Coturnix japonica: one gene and its partners. The protein of the gene in region 1 interacts with the protein of each later gene in a pairwise test. Links are inferred from orthologs where the notes say so. Each region holds a gene or a part of one and is shown in the gene's direction. Other genes may lie near its edges. The genes, in order: TASOR2, PRKAB2, KLHL40 and NEK6.

Region 1 (3,734 bases):
GCAGCACGAGGAAAGTGGTGAAGCACAGCAACCCCAAGAAATACGTCTCCTTAAACAGCACTGGAGACTTCTTTGAGCTGAGTGAAGACAGCGATGATTGCTTCGAGTTGGAGACGTGCCCTGCGGATTCACGGTCAGACCCTGACCAGACTCCTAGAAGCTCTCTGGATCCCAGCACACACTGCCAGGGCTGTTTCCACCCGGAGAAGAGCGCTGCAGACTCTCAGACTGATGCTGATGGGACTCCTGGTGTTGTTGATAGTACGGTATCATCCTCTTCAGGGGAGGAGGAGCCTTCCTCCACCAGCCCAGAGAGCCCTTCCCTCACTGAACATGCAGATCAGAGCAACCCGGCTGGGAAAGACAGAACTGAGAAGTGTGTGCATGACGTCTCAACTATCACTGCAGTAAGAGCTTGGGGTGTGGGTGCTACAAGCCAGCAGGGCGCACAGTGCATTTTGTGCTTGTGCAAGTAGGTTCTTGTGGGTGGAATGGAGCAGATGTGCCTGTGAGCTCTCTTGGGGCGATGTAGTTGGGCTCTCTGAAGCATGATACATGAAAGTCATTCAGCAGTTTGCTGCCCTATGCACACATACTCAGAGTTCTCAGAGGCCTCAATTCCAGTTCACTCTGAGCTGGTATCCCTGGGCTCTGAGGGAAGCCGTATCCATCACTGACTGAGAGAACAGGGACACGATGTGCAGGAATCCCAAAGGATTGGAGCGAGTAAATATCAGATTTCTCAAGGCCATATAAACACAAGCACCTTCTCTCCAGGGTCTGAGCAAACCCTCAATCACTGGACTTCTCCAGACCCCAGAGAGAAGACTAGTGAGCAAACAAACCCTCAGTCACTGGAGATCCAGCATGGCTCAGTTTGTTTTTATCAGTATAAAGGTCTCTATTAGAAATCTACTCTTAAGTGAGGGAGAAGGAAAACCAGAACTACCCCAAGATGGGGTTTCAAAAGCCTGCCTGTCTCCTCTGGGCATTTTCCAGCCTGTGATGGATCCTTATTGAGATCTCTGCACAGTTTGGTCTGTTTTTACGCCTCTTCACTGTATATAGAAGATAAAAAGCTTCATATCCTTTCCCTGGCTGTCTGTGGCCATGGTAGTGACTCCTGTCTGATAAAGATTCAAGCCAGACTTATTTGGGAGGCAAACTTATCTCCACAGATGCCACTGGGGTGGTTGTACTGACAAAGTTTGAGTTGTTAGAATATCCATGTCCTCGCACATGGGGTTTCTCAGTTCCTATCTTTAAGGTTAACCTCTGGCTTATGTTGTTTCAGGTTGAGCCACTCAAGGAGGAGCTGAGGGATGCTGAGATGACCCCCAGCCCTTCTGAGGAGCTTGGCGATGCTGGTGAACCCCAGGCTGTGCTGGGCAGGGAAAACCCACGTGGCCAAACCCTGAATTTTAGCCCAGCTCCCCAGAGTGCTGCCCTGTGTGCTCAGCATGGAGGTGGAGAGCAGCCAGAGAGCATGGGGGCAGCGTGCTCAAGGGGTGACCACAGTCCACGTTCCTGTGATTCGATGCCCTCAGAAGCAAGTCTCAAAACTCACTCAAACCTCATTGGGCTTGGTGAAGAAGAGAGGGAATCACAAGAGCCCATAGGACGTAGTGAAAAAGAGGAGGAAGAGGTGGAGGAAGGAAAAAGAGAGAAGGAAGACTCTGAAAATGAAAGCACGATCACAAGGCCTGTTGATTTAGCATTTTCAGAAAGAGGTGATGGAGAGCTGGTGAATTCAGCACCTCCAAAGCCCTCAGGGGCTATGGCCACTCCAAATGCAGGGGCAAATAGCATTGGTTTGGCATGTACAGATGATCCTGTGTCAGTGCTGCCATTGTCCCCCAGTCAAAACCTTGTTTGTGGGGTTACCGTTACGAGCAGCTCCCGACTTGCCAGCGAGGTGCTCAGGGATGGTTTGGAGCAGAAAGACGAGGATTGTGCGCCCTCTGCAGAAACATGGGTGCTTGCTGGGAGCAAAGCTGCCTGCACAGCTGGCCCTGAGTCACCACGAGACCAGGGACCCTTCCTAACCCTGTCCCCTGACTCCAGCATCTGCTCTGATGGAGGAACTGATATGGGAGCTGCTCCAGAGAACCAGGTGGCCGCAACTCTCCTCCAAACTCCACCAAGGGGTGGCCCAGGAGGGAGCCTTTCCCAAAGGTCTTCAGGTGATAGTGCTGAGCTCACGTTGCTGAGTGCTGCTGAGAAGCCCCCTAAGAGCAATGAAACGAGCACAGCTGATGCACCACAGGAACTGAAGACCTCTCTGTGTGACCTGTTAGATTCTTCCTCCTCAGTGAGAGAAGAGGAGCCTGTTGGTGATATACCACCTCTTGCTGTGGCCCAGCACCAGCAGAGCTCTCCAAACAGCCCATCCCTGCCTTCCCCCCATCAGGACCCTTCTCCCCACGGTACTGCTGCAGACACCTGTTGCTGCTTATTAAAGCAAAGTGAGCAGGAACCAGACTTGTGCCCACATGGAAAGCCTTGCAAGACAGTGGTTGCTGCAGCGCTGAGTGTGGCTGCTGAGAACCCAGCTCTGAGTGGCTCCTTGAAGCCTGAATGTGCAGAAGGAGCGAAGAAGGACTTGGGGCTGTGCCATGCAGAGTCTACAGAGAGCTCTCCTCTGGATATACTCACACCTGAAGAGCCAGGATCAAGGCCTTGTTCTCCTCTGCATGGCCATGAGACTGAGCCAGACCCAGTCATTGGTGTGGACCCCAAAATGAGTCCAGCTCCTGCTCCAGATGCTGCCCTGAGCTCCAGCTGTGTGGAACAGCTACCACCAGATGCTGACAGCAAGTGTGCCTGCCCAGGGAGCCCTAAGGAATGCGAGGGAGGAAACAGCATCCCTCCTGCCCCCCCTGCATCATCTGGAGCAGGGGAGTTGTTCATGCCTATGGGAGAGCCCACGTTTTTGTGCAGCCAGGGTGACTCCGCTGTGTTGGCTGATCCGCACTGTGCTGATGAAGAGCTGGAAGAGGGAGAAATCCCTGTTCTGCCAATCCCAACATCACAGCTATGTGCAGATTCTGGAGAGAGCTCAGTGGTTAGTGACACTGGGGTCATTTTGGATGCTCTCCTGAAGGCAAAATGCCTCCCCAGCACAGAAAAATATGTGGGTTTGAGCTGGGAAGATCCATCCTACAGGTCCTCCTCCAGTGACTCAGACTGGGAGAAGCACTTGGGACGCACTTCCCACCCCCTTCTTAAGCCCAGGTGTTGCCATTGCTTGAGGTCCATGGGTGCCACAAGGACTGACTGCGATTCCTCATCCTCTATAAGCTTGGGATGCTCAGAGGGATGCAGCGAGGAGTGGGGATCCCTGAGCACTGAGGAGGGCTGCTGGTGGCCCACCAGCCAATGGAACACCAGCAGCAGACACGTGCCACCCTATGTCAATATCACGGACAGCCGGGGGATCTCCAGGGATTACCTGAACTTCATGGTCACCACAAAATGCCCAGGCAGGATGGGAAGCTCACAAGGACAGACTCATTTACGGGAGTCACTGATGGGGACGTGGAAAGGTTTTGAAGAAATCACCCAGCACACTTTGGACATGGAGCGCCTCCGTTTCCATAATAAGCTAAAACAGATCCTAAGGAGTGGGACACCACCCCTTTCTACCTCCATTTTTCCTAGAGACTGCTCTCCCCAGGAGTCACCTGTGCGAGGAGCCCCTCACTCCTCGCGGAGCAGGAGCCCTTTGCAGGTGA
Region 2 (4,525 bases), on another chromosome or scaffold:
TTGACTTCTCTTACATCAATCGCTTCATCCAGCTCCTCCAAAGCCTGCTGCCCCTCTCCGTGAGCAACTTCATGCTGGAGAGGAAACTCAACATGCGCTTTGACCACGCTCTGTATGGTCTGAAGCCAAAACACCGGTGAGTGTTCGTGGCAGAGTTATGGGGGCCTGCCTGCACTCGGTCCTGCATGAGCTCTGTTTGTTCTCACCAGGGTCTTCAACCAGCACCTGACCATCAACGACGACCTGCCCAACCGTGTCATTTCGGGCAGGGTGCGGGTGAAGCCAAACATCAAGGAGTTCACGGAGACATCTGCCATCTTTGAGGATGGCACTAAGGAAAACATCGATGCTGTAGTCTTTGCCACAGGGTACAGCTTCTCCTTCCCCTTCCTTGAGGACTATGTGAAGGTGGTGGAGAATCAGGTCCCCCTCTACAAGTTTATGTTCCCAGTTGACCTGGAGAAGCCGACGCTGGCTTTCATTGGCTACATCCAGCCTCTGGGAGCCATCATGCCCATCTCGGAGATGCAGAGCCGCTGGGCCACCCGTGTCTTTAAGGGTAAGCGAGGCGAGCCGGGAATGCACTTCTCTGGGTATGGCAAGGCCAAATTATTCAGTTGCTGGCATGTGCTCCTCCTTTTATCATCCTTCTATGAAGGGATATAAAACATCACTGCATTTTGCAACAAGTGTTGCACTTTATTTCATCACATACAGCTGGTAATGGATCTCCTCACCTGCAAACCATTTTCTCTCTCTTATTTCTTTGCCCATGCCTCTCTCTTGCCCCATTTGGTGGCCCAAAGGCTTTTCCTGTGGCACAGCAGCCACGCTGGGCGCAGAGGGACACAACTGCTGATAGCACAGCTCTCTGCTTCTCCTTCTGTAGGTCTGCACAAGCTGCCCCCAACCAGCACCATGTTGGCTGACATCACACAAGCCAAGGAGAAAATAGCCAAGCGGTAAGAACCCTGCGGGGCACCAACCTGCCACCACCTCCTCGATGAGCACACACAGAGCCTGTCCCTGCCCACAGGTACGTGGCCAGCCGGCGGCACACCATCCAGGTGGATTACATCCCCTACATGGACGAGCTCGCCTGCCAGCTGGGCGTCAAGCCCAACGTGCCGCTGCTTTTCCTCACTGACCCCAGGCTGGCGCTGGAGGTGCTGCTGGGGCCCTGCACGCCCTACCAGTACCGCCTGCATGGCCCCGGCGCATGGCAGGGTGCGCGGGAGGCCATCCTGACTCAGCAGCAGCGCGTGGAGCACCCGCTGCGGGGCAGGGCCGGGCACGGCCGCTCTGTGCCGCCCTGCAGCTCGGTGCCACACAGCTTCAAGGTCCTCTTCAGCCTCGGACTCATCGTGGCCACGCTCATCTACGTCTCGCTGTCCCCATAGCCCCTAGTGAAGAGGGCTTTGGCCATCCCCTAACTCTGCCTTGGGTTTCGGTGTCGCTGGGAGGGGCACGGGGCACGTTTTCCTCATGAGAAAGGCAATAAAGCTCGTCCTTGTTCTCCATGAAGGCTCAGGCTCTGGGCTGCGCTCATTAACGCCCGCACTGCACAACGCAAACTACTCGCACCAGGCCGCGCTCCCACAGCAAAGATGGCCGCTCTCCCGGAAGCCACACCGCCCTCAAACAAAATGGCTGCCCGGTACCATAGAGAGCAGCGCGGGGGCGGGACAGAGCGCCCCGCAGAGGCTGGCGGTGGAGGCGGCCGCCATTTTGATCGGAGGCGGAGAGCGGGGCGGCGGCGGCGGCGGCGGGCAGGTGGGGCTGCGAGCGGGGCTGCCATGGGGGGCTGCGCTGCCCCCGTGTGCTGTGGGGCCGGGTTGGGTGCTGGGTGTCACGGCGGGGCGGGGGGCCCGGAGCGGACAGGAGGCGGCAGGGGGTGGGGCTGTCAGGGCGGCGGTGCGGGGGGTGACGCTGTGGGCGGTGGTGCGGGTGTCGGTGCCGTTGGTACCGTAACGCCGCGCCCGGTGACACCGCTATGGCCGGCACTGTGCCGGGCGGTGCTGCAGCGGCCCTGCACATCTCATCGTTGCCGTGGGGTGAGCCGTGGGCTCGCTGCCCTCTGAGGGCTTAAGGAATACTCGAGTAATTGCCCCGTAATGGTTTAAAGCCAGGCTTTGGCTGGCGGCCTCACCCGGCCCTCCGCACATAGCTTGATGTTCTAAGCAAATCCGCAGCTGTCACAACGCACCCAGTGAATCAAGGCTGGCTCCCTGCAGAACACAGCCGGCTGCCCCAGCGATGGGCTCAGCCCATGTATCGCCCGGCGCTGGGCAGACACGCAGCCCTGGGGTCGGCTATGAGCGCAGCCTGCTCAGCAGCACAGCCTGCACACACCGTGTTGTTACTCCTTGCCCTGGCCGCACTCCAGCCTGGCCGATTCCACTCCTGCTACTTGCAGCACTGTTGCTGTGCCAGCCGTGAAGCCGTGCTGCTCTGCCCGCAGGCTCACCCACACTCGTTGGGAGCTGTTAACAGCTGCTACTTTCACTCTCCGGCTGTTTTCCTGCTGGCTGTAGCGTTGTGTTCTGTGCAGGCTGACTGTGGGGTTGTGAAAGAGGCTCTGTTAGTGCCGGGAGACAATCTGCCACTCAAGGGTGGCTTTATTTCTCTCATCAGCCCTTCTACTTGTGTAGGATGTGGTCTAACTCACTTTTGTTTTAGGGTATAACAATTACCGGCTTAACTATCACGATGGCTCATAAGGGTATGCCTATAATTAGTTCAGCCTGTCTCGCTTGTTAAATTCCCCTTCGGCTCCCAAACTTGGCATCGGGGAAGAACTTTGGGCCTTTTTTAGGATTGCTGTCACTCTGTGCTGGCAAAAGGCAGCGGGAAGCAGCACCCTGCTCCCTGCTGGAGCCCACGGACATAGGCAACACTGCCTTCTTCCCCCTCTCACAGCGGCTGCTGAGCTGTCATGGGAAACACCACCAGCGAGCGAGTGTCCGGTGAGCGCCATGGCTCCAAGTCCCACCGCTCCGACGGCTCCGGCGCTGCCCATCCCACAAAGGAGCACCCACACAAGATCATGGTGGGCAGCACAGATGACCCCAGTGTTTTCAGCTCCCACGACTCCAAGGTAGGGGGCTGGCTGCTGCCTTTGTTGTCCTCACGTCGGGTGCTGGGTGGTGTCCCATAGGGGGCTGTGCTGGGCTGAGGCTGCTTTCAAGGAGAGGATTTTTGGTTGGGAGCAGCCCTCTGTTTAATTCAAGCTAAATACAGGCAGGGTGGCAGTGTGCCGGGGTACAGCTTTCATAGCAGGAACCACAAGCTGAGCTGCAACACAGGAGAAACATCTCCTGGGATGGATGGGTGGAGCTGCCTGCCCAGCCTGAGGTTACTATTGTCTGCAATGTGCAAATGGAGGTGGAGGGAAATGAAACGGCTCTGGTGTTCTCTGCTCAGATTCCAGGGGACAAGGAGTTTGTTTCATGGCAGCCTGACCTGGAGGAGTCAGTGAAGCCATCCCAGCAGGCTCGGCCCACTGTCATCCGCTGGGCTGATGGAGGCAAAGAGGTCTTCATCTCTGGATCCTTCAACAACTGGAGCACCAAGATCCCGCTCATCAAGAGGTAGCTATACCCCTTGGCTCACCCCGTGTTCTCCTCCATCAGTCGCAGGGAGCGTTTTTCTCAGTGCCATTTGCTGTTCCCTTTGCCCAACCTGGCTTCTCACAGTTCATCATGCCCGAGCTCGAGGTGTGAGCACAAATATGCAGCCAGCATCCTGCCTGGGGGCTGCTGCAGTGGTAGGGAGAAACTGTGAAATGGGACAGGACAGGATGGGCCTCCTTGCTTTCCCAATTACATGCCACACAGCAGCCATCCTGGCAGCAGGGCCCTGCCCAGGTGTGCTGCAGCTCTCTGAAGCTTGGTGGCCCTTCTCCTTGCCTGCTTGTGTTGCTGCTAGAGGGAGTTGTTTGGTTGTCCCTCACCTGTCCTCCTTCCATAGCAGTGTCCTCGTTGTTCTGCAGTACACCTGTGTTTTCTGTGGAAACACTATGTAGGACTGGGCATAATCCCAGCAAATACCTGCCACGGGATTATCTCGACTGCAGACTTCACAGGCACTTCATGCTTTCATCCTGCAGTACCAGCACAGGTTTAGATTCGTTGTTCACTCGCCCTGTCCAGTGTGTCTTGCACTTGCCATCATGTGATCCCACACGATGTGTGGGGCAGGGCTGCAAGCTGAGCTCCTGTTTGCCTTGTGTCCTGATTGGAACAGATGATCTTAGTGTTTTTTTCCAACCCTAATGAGTCTACGATTCTATGGGCCCTGAGGGATCTGAATCATCCTGGGGCTCTGGGCACTCGCACCTGCTCTGGCCATGCCTTGAGTGATGAGCAATCCTAACCCAGCACATGGGTGTTTGGGTCGAGGGGGCAGGCAGTGCATGACAAAGTGCTCTTCTCTGGGACAGCATCCAAAGCATCACTGCAGTAATGGTGTTGTACATCTGTTCTCTCTGCACAGCCACAACGACTTCGTTGCTATCCTGGACCTC
Region 3 (2,960 bases), on another chromosome or scaffold:
AGGGTTTGCCACGGTGGAGACGGAGTCTGGGGAGCTGGTGCCAACAGAGCTGAACGACGTCTGGAGGTGATGACTTTCCCTGGGGCTCTCCATGGGAGATGGGGGATGTTACTCACCAAGGAAACAGATAGTCTTGGTCTTTATCCCTTCAGTCTGAGGGAGATGCTGCTACCCCATCACAAGGCTGCAGGCTCAGCAAGAGGTCTCTGGTTGAGATGTGTGCTTTGTACTGTGCTGGAGGGCACGTTAGGTGATTTGGTGATTTCTCCCAGCCTCCAATAGAGAAATAGCAGGAAAAATCTTCTTTCTCCTGAATTGCTATTTTGTTTGGAGCTGGTTCCACATCTCCCCTTTGTCTTGAAGCAGTGTTTCTGCAATGAACGCTCTCCTTGAGAAAAGCCAGAGCTTGGGCTGGAAACCAGATTGTCCTACATGAGAGCAGAGACAGAAAGCACTTTCTAACAGCTGCTCACACAGGATTAGCTCCCATCCCCCAGGTCTGTGGATGTAGAGCACCCTCAGCAGGCATTTCCTGGCCTTCACCACAGATCTTCCATCTTGGTGATACCAACCCATACCCCAGGGTTCCAGCAGCTGCGTTGTAGCCAGGTGTTGTGGAGGTGGGGGGTTTATAAGGTGCGGAGAGGGGATGCTTTCCTCACCATAGCTGTCTGTCTGTCTCTCCCCAGATACGATGAAGAGCAGAAGAAGTGGGAAGGGGTCCTCCGTGAGATCCAATACGCCTCTGGTGCCACTTTCCTTCCCGTGCGCCTCAATGTTTTGCGGCTGACGAAGATGTAGCACCATTTCCTTTCTTCAGTGGGCAGGGAGGGACAGGGAGCAGTAGGAGATGCTGTTTCTCTATATACTGTGTAGGACATTGTGTCTGTGATTGGTACCATTTCACTGAGACAAATGGGAGAGGGGGAAAATTAACTTGAAGCCTTAAATTTGCTGGGGCTCACACGGTAACTAAAAAAGGACTTTAGAGCATGTGAGGAGCTGGGGAAGACTAACAGACATGGAGCAATACGCTAATCCAGTCTCAGCTGGCAGAACAAAGAGATTCTACTCTTGTTCCACTTCTTTCTCTTAGTTTTTTCCAGTCTTCTCCAGCCATCAGTGGAGGTAGAAGAGGGTTCTGAAGGCATTAAGCTGATGTTTCTCCAGACAAAAGGGTCTCTGATATGTTTCTTCACCTAAGGTAGCTGCAGGTGTGGTGCTACAAATCACTTCAGAGGGAAAAGGGAGGTGGTGCAGGTCAGATCTGGGGGACTCTGAGAGTTCCCACGTGGTGAAGGTCATTGGGATGAGACAGTTAAAAGAAAACAGGCATGTTGGCAGTGGGGGCAAAAATTCCTTCAACACTGCAATGAACAGGAAAAAAAATAGTTATTCACCTCCATCCTGACTTTGCACTGAAGGGATGCAAGGAGGTGAGGGCTGCAAGAGGGGCTATGGGTGTGACGCTCATCTCCATCCCCTAGAGCTCCTCGTGGTCTATCACAGATTACAATGTCCTCATGTATCAAGGGACAAGTGCTTTTCTTCAGGGAAAGGTTTTTTATTTATGCTTTCATTTTTATTGTCACAAACTTTTTTTTCTTTTTTTTTTTAAAGCACTGTTTTAATTTGCAGAATTCTTGGAGATCTCAGCAGCGTTTGGCTCAAAGAGAGCTTCCTGCTGAGTCAAAACGCACTGTGTTCTGTTTTGTTTTTGTTTTTTTTTTAAGTGATCATGATGATTTTTTGTTAGAAACACGACTGTGCCAGCAGCAGGACAGAGATGTGTAGTTAGACCAGAAATCTAACGATGATGTCCATGCTGTATGACCAGCAATTCACTTCAGAATAAATCTTGAAAATATTTATCCCCAAATTTCCTTTCTCTGAATGTTGATGGAGCTGTAAATGGATGCCCACAGCAACCGCATGCAAGGGCTGAGCAAAAGCTGTGATGAATGCATGGAGAAATCCAGCCCCATGGGGAGCCCCAGCTTCTACAGTTCTGATTTTTCCCCATTTCAGAGCAGAACCTTTAGTGTTCATGTCCTAAAAGCTTTTCTCAGTAGACATGAGGACTAGAAACTTGTCTAGGAAGAGAAATACCAGCTGGATGCCTCCATCATCACACGGTGCAACAAACAGGGTTGATGGTAATGAAGAAGAACAAATACAGATCTTGTAAATAAATGCCCTCAAAGCAGCACGAACACTGATATCAGAAGTCTGGCTGATTTGACTAGATTAAAATGCTGTCTTGAGAAGCTAAAATGAGTTTGGAAGTAAAGACAATTTTCCATGAGTAAAGGAGCCAGAGACTCGTTCTGCCTTCATTGTAAGGAGATTTTCTAAGAAGAGTTATGGGATAATCTCCTTAGAAGATGATTATGTCAGAAGAGCAATGAAACATTTTCACAAGAAAAATAAATCCGAAGTGACTGGCTGGCATCTGATAGCATTAAAAAGGAGGGGGAAAAGGAAACCAACTAAAATGTTCAAAATAACCAAACATGAAAAAAAACCTGTGGCCAAATAAATGAATAAAAAAATGGTCACCCTCCATCCAGTTCTGGAGAAATTCCCATGGAAGAGTCCCAAAGTAATACAGTGACTTGTTGCAGAAGTGGAAAGTGGTCCTGAGAGAGGGTTCTTCCCCATGGAGGTTCAGCTGCTCCTGGGGGAAATGTGGGCCCTTTGAAGCCAGTGGTGTGGCCCTTTGCAGTCAATGGGAGCACTGTTGTGTCTCAGTAATTAGTGGTCCCTCGATAATGGCTTGAGAAGCAGTGATTAAGCCCAGCCAGCATCCTGGTCTGCATCCTCAGCTGCTCACCTTGCACTGTCTGTTGGGAGTTTGGTTAATAGGAGCTGAGCACTCCCATGTTGTTCACATCCATTAAATGCTTTAGGAGGTAACACCCTTAGAACAGAGCAAGAGAAGATAAAATGGCAATTTGAAA
Region 4 (4,331 bases), on another chromosome or scaffold:
CCTCGGTTCAGCTCCATTGATTTATGAAGTCCTCTTGCAAGCACGATGTTGAAGGACTGAAAACACTGGTTTGCGAGGCTGTGCTTGAGGAGTTAGCAGCGTGGGTTAATCGAGTTAATTAGAAACTCCACTAAGGTTTAGGAGCCCAGCTTTGCTGAGCTGCCATATCTAAGGCTAGCTTGAATCAGGCTGCACACTGAAATTCTTACTCTTGTGTAACGTGTCTGAGATAACTTTGTGGTTTGAAAACGGTGTATGTAACATGTTGTTTTCTGTTTGGTTCTACAACAAAACAAAACTGGGTTTAAGACAGAGCAGTAGTGTTGCTGTCACTCGGTCTGTGAGCCGTGAGCAGCTGTACTGAGCTGTGGGCAGCTGGGAGCTGTTGTCCATGGGCAGCAGCTTCAGTCCCCTCTCTCCTGTTGGGAAGAGCTGCAGAACAGGATGTGGCCAAGGCTGCTGCTGGGAGCCTCAGCCTTGTTGAAGGCCCTCTGCATATCTGCGTGCACTTAAAATTCCTTAAAATTTACAGAACTTACATCTAAAATTGCAGGCAGAGTGGTTTTAATTTGTATAGGAGATGTAATAAAGGCATTGGATGTGTTGTATTATAGAAAGATCTGTATGTATGACTGCATAATGGAACCTCTCGAGCGAATGCCTTACACAGGCTGGTACTTGTGCTCTGGGAAGTACAGAGGGTTGTGCCTGGGCAGCAGCTCTGTTTCTTATGGCTCTGGGCAGAAGGTTTCCTGGCACTGGGAAAAGCCCCGGCCCCTATTGGTCCCCATCCACCACTCACAAGAAACAGCTGCAGGTGCAAGGTGGATCCCCTCCTTTCCCCAAAGCATGTGATGGAAGCACATGGAGGATGGGTTTGTGTTTACCTGCGCTTACATGCTTGCCCGTGGGTTTAAATGATGTGCTGGTACTGCTGGGTTCATGCTCCAGCATTGTCACTTATTAACATAACAGAGTCATTACGCACAGAGCGGAATGTGGCACTGAATGGTTTCTGTGTGTTGCACGGAGCTCGTGCGTTCAGTTACGAGTTTCTCAAAAGGTTGATTCCCAGCTTCTCGTCAGAACATTCTGTGCAGGCCTCTGCAGCAAGAAAAATTGGACCCAATTTAAATAGACAGTCTTGTGAATCCTGAAAGAATTTGGGCATTTAGCCCAGGAAAGGGAGAGTTCTCTGCAAGAACTTCATTAACCCTGTCTGTCAGCAGAATAAGGAATCAAAGGAGCTGTGCAGACTTCCCGAAGAACAGATCTTCTTGTTCTGCCCCGCAGCCGCGATGTGCAGCGCTGATCCAGGAGCTGTGTCTGTGCCCTGGGGAGATGGAGCCAAGAGCAGGTTACACATAGAAGAGTGGCTGCTGTCAGTTCCAGATCTTCAGGAATGTGTAGGGAAAGACACCACTGTACTAGTATAGATGCTAATACAGTTGTCCTTACCGTATTTAGTGGAGGAAGGATCCAAACCTGTTTCTGATGTAGATGTTTTTGTAAGTAGAAAGATGTTAAACCTTTTTACCCTGGGAAGAGTTTCTGCTTCCGTTTGGCTGCTCCTGCAAGGTCCGGATACCGGGAAGCTCCTGCAGCATCTGGCTGCTGTGTCTGCAGCACGCAGCCTTTACGAGGTGGCTTTGAAGTTGCCTTTGGATTCGAATGGTATGAATCTTCAGATCGGCTGGGCTGCGTGGTCCTCAGCATCATTTCCTGTGACTTTTGATTATGAGGAATGTAAATACTTCAAGCTGTTGTCCTGATGTTTTGAAGTTGGATGTGCATATATGTATATATAAAAAAATCCCCTGGGTTCCTTTGCATGAGATCCAGGTGTGCTGGCTGCACGGACTGCAGCACAGAGCACCCCCCATGGCCACGCATGAGGTTACTGCAGGCAGGTGGAGAGATGTGGCAGTGTCTGGCAGGGAACAGATACAATATAAATATATTTCTAGCTCATATTTAATCTTTCCTTCATTGGAAATGAATGAGTTCTGAGGAGGATAACGTAAATGTTCTTAAATAATTTGGCTTCAGGCTTGAAAGCTCTATTGCATTATGAGTTAGAAGATAAGCATGTTGTTGCATGCTTAGTAAGCACCATGGTAAAATTCCAGGTAGATTGAGTATGTGTTTGTTTTCAGCATGTTTCCTTAATGCTAGTAGCAGCCTGCAAGGTCTGTCTCAGCTGTTTCAAAGACTGTGAAACCATAGAATCATAGAATGGCCTGGGTTGAAAAGGACCACAACGATCACCTTGCTTCAACCCCCTGCTATGTGCAGGGTCACCAACCACCAGACCAGGCTGCCCAGAGCCACATCCAGCCTGGCTTTGAATGCCTGCAGGGATGGGGCATCCACAGTCTCCTTGGGCAGCCCAGTGCTTTCAAGAGGCTCTGAATTGCACGAAGAAGAGTATGAATTATGTAGCCTTGCCTTGGCTTCACAGCATATCTGAGTGCTGGCTGGAGAAAAGCAGCCCGTTCTTGTTGGTCAGTAATTACTGTATTACCTGTCTTCAGAGGAACTGTTTTTCACTTTAAACGCAGCTGCCTGCTGTCCATACTCAATGTTGTATGTGAATATGCATTTGGTATTTATCTGCCCACAGTAGGAACGGTGTACACAAATATGTATGGGTGGTGGTGGCACAGTAGGAAGTTCTGTGCAGGGAAGGAAGTGCTAGGGCTGGTGGAGGGGAACATTTATCTCACTGTCCAAGTAATTCTTTATTCATAGCCATAAATCTCTGAGTATCCCTGGCATTGGTCTCTTGGGAGCCCTGTGAAGCCATCCCTTGTAATGAATGGATGGAGCTAAGTAGTGTTTCAAGTGTGTTTAGGTTCAGAAGACTTTTAGAAACAATTCTATCTCCTGGTCTGGGGCCGAGTTCTGAGGAGGTGACCAAAAAAATGGCACAAACAGCAAATATCTCACATTAAACCTATTGTGTGTTGTGTGCCACATGAAGAGGGTTTGCAAAAAAATAGTGCAGCAGCAAGGATCAATCAAATAAAAGGGAGAAGGAAATTGATCCGTGGTTGTTGCTGTGTTTGGAGCCATAGGGGACAGCATGCAGAGCTCATCCACATCATAGCCCTCTAAGCTGGAGTGGATGCTGCTGCATCGAGGAGCTGAGTGTGAAGGGAGGCAGGATGGAGACGTGGGAGATGCTGAACCAAAACTGGAAGCAAGCTGGTAGCTGCCTGCCTGCTTGGTGGTGGCAGTTAATGAAAGTAATAGCATGAAAACCTTCCTGTCAGACTTATCAGCTCAAGTACCCTCTTCAGGTGTATGGTATGGATGGAAAAAGGGGGATTTTGATGCAGAGAATGCTTGGAGAGTACTTTGAACTTGCACTATAGATTTGTCCCTGAACTAGACTAGAGAGTACTTGAAAAGATAATGTTACCACAATTGGGAATAAGCTCTGGGTAGCGTAAAGTTTGTTGACTTAATGTCATTTTGCTTCTAGGTATAGAACAGTGAATTACAGTGTCTGTCATGGCATTTGTTTAATGAATATCAGTTGTTGACATGAAGAAGCTGTAGGTCTTCTCAGCCATTTTGCTGCAGCATTCTTGGTGGGCTTGGGGTGTTCAGGAGGCCAGCACCCCGTTACTGCCCACTAAGGCTGTCCGGAGTAGGATCTCAACAAAAAGTCAGCATGAAATCTTAACACAGCGCTGTCAGGATAAGCACCGTCCCAGTGTGGGAGGCTCAGTGCTGCTCTGCAGGCAGGGGATGGGTGCTTCCATCACCTCGGCCTTGGGGGGCTTGGAACCACGGGTGCAGTTCTCACTGATGATTGTGCTTTGGTTTCCACACTACCTCTAAAACTAGGAATATGTAAATGTATAAGAGTACTTCAGTATTTTTGTTCTTAGATGTTGTTTCCATAGTGGGACCACTTGTAACTTGCATTCATGTGAGTTGGATGAAGATAACCTTCTGAAAGGCTTCAAAAACATCATCTGTTAAATGTCACTCATGTGCAGTTTGATTTAAAAAAACGCAGTGCAGTGTCCTTAGGACTTAAAACTATCGACAGTTTTAGTTTGAAGCACAACTGTTAGTTGTGTCTGATAGTCGATGCTTTGTTACTCACGGCACCAGAGCCGGGCTCTGCTGCTTGAAGCTTCCCTGTTTCCACAGATGGAGAAAGCCATTTCCTGCCTGCTGTGGTTTGTCCTTCAGAGGTTTTGTCATTCAGAATGAATGACATTTTTTAGATAGTATCTTAGCCCTTTGGTTATGGATGATGTTACTACGCCTAATATAAAGTTGTGTAACTGGGTGATATTAATATTGTTTTCAGG

What was found.
Region 2: the proteins of TASOR2 (region 1) and PRKAB2 interact in binary tests that used the Homo sapiens proteins (3 or more experiments, as listed by UniProt). The link is inferred for Coturnix japonica from reciprocal best matches to the Homo sapiens genes TASOR2 and PRKAB2.
Region 3: the proteins of TASOR2 (region 1) and KLHL40 interact in binary tests that used the Homo sapiens proteins (3 or more experiments, as listed by UniProt). The two-hybrid records come from large-scale screens. The link is inferred for Coturnix japonica from reciprocal best matches to the Homo sapiens genes TASOR2 and KLHL40.
Region 4: the proteins of TASOR2 (region 1) and NEK6 interact in binary tests that used the Homo sapiens proteins (3 or more experiments, as listed by UniProt). The link is inferred for Coturnix japonica from reciprocal best matches to the Homo sapiens genes TASOR2 and NEK6.

What each region holds. Positions count from the first base shown.
Region 1 is NC_029516.1:1,090,922-1,094,655, reverse strand, and holds part of TASOR2 (protein TASOR 2), read left to right. Parts: coding exon 1-407; intron 408-1,294; coding exon 1,295-3,734.
Region 2 is NC_029523.1:4,168,098-4,172,622, reverse strand, and holds the start of PRKAB2 (5'-AMP-activated protein kinase subunit beta-2), read left to right. Parts: upstream 1-1,698; 5' UTR 1,699-1,773; intron 1,774-2,280; exon of another isoform or gene 2,281-2,919; 5' UTR 2,920-2,935; coding exon 2,936-3,097; intron 3,098-3,423; coding exon 3,424-3,590; intron 3,591-4,494; coding exon 4,495-4,525. Other genes in the region: dimethylaniline monooxygenase [N-oxide-forming] 5-like, read left to right, coding at 1-136, 210-559, 890-962, 1,037-1,400. UniProt on the Homo sapiens protein: Non-catalytic subunit of AMP-activated protein kinase (AMPK), an energy sensor protein kinase that plays a key role in regulating cellular energy metabolism.
Region 3 is NC_029517.1:1,772,252-1,775,211, reverse strand, and holds part of KLHL40 (kelch-like protein 40), read left to right. Parts: coding exon 1-66; intron 67-689; coding exon 690-801; 3' UTR 802-2,960. UniProt on the Homo sapiens protein: Substrate-specific adapter of a BCR (BTB-CUL3-RBX1) E3 ubiquitin ligase complex that acts as a key regulator of skeletal muscle development.
Region 4 is NC_029532.1:7,814,213-7,818,543, forward strand, and holds the start of NEK6 (serine/threonine-protein kinase Nek6), read left to right. Parts: upstream 1-1,505; 5' UTR 1,506-1,520; coding exon 1,521-1,674; intron 1,675-4,331. UniProt on the Homo sapiens protein: Protein kinase which plays an important role in mitotic cell cycle progression. Required for chromosome segregation at metaphase-anaphase transition, robust mitotic spindle formation and cytokinesis.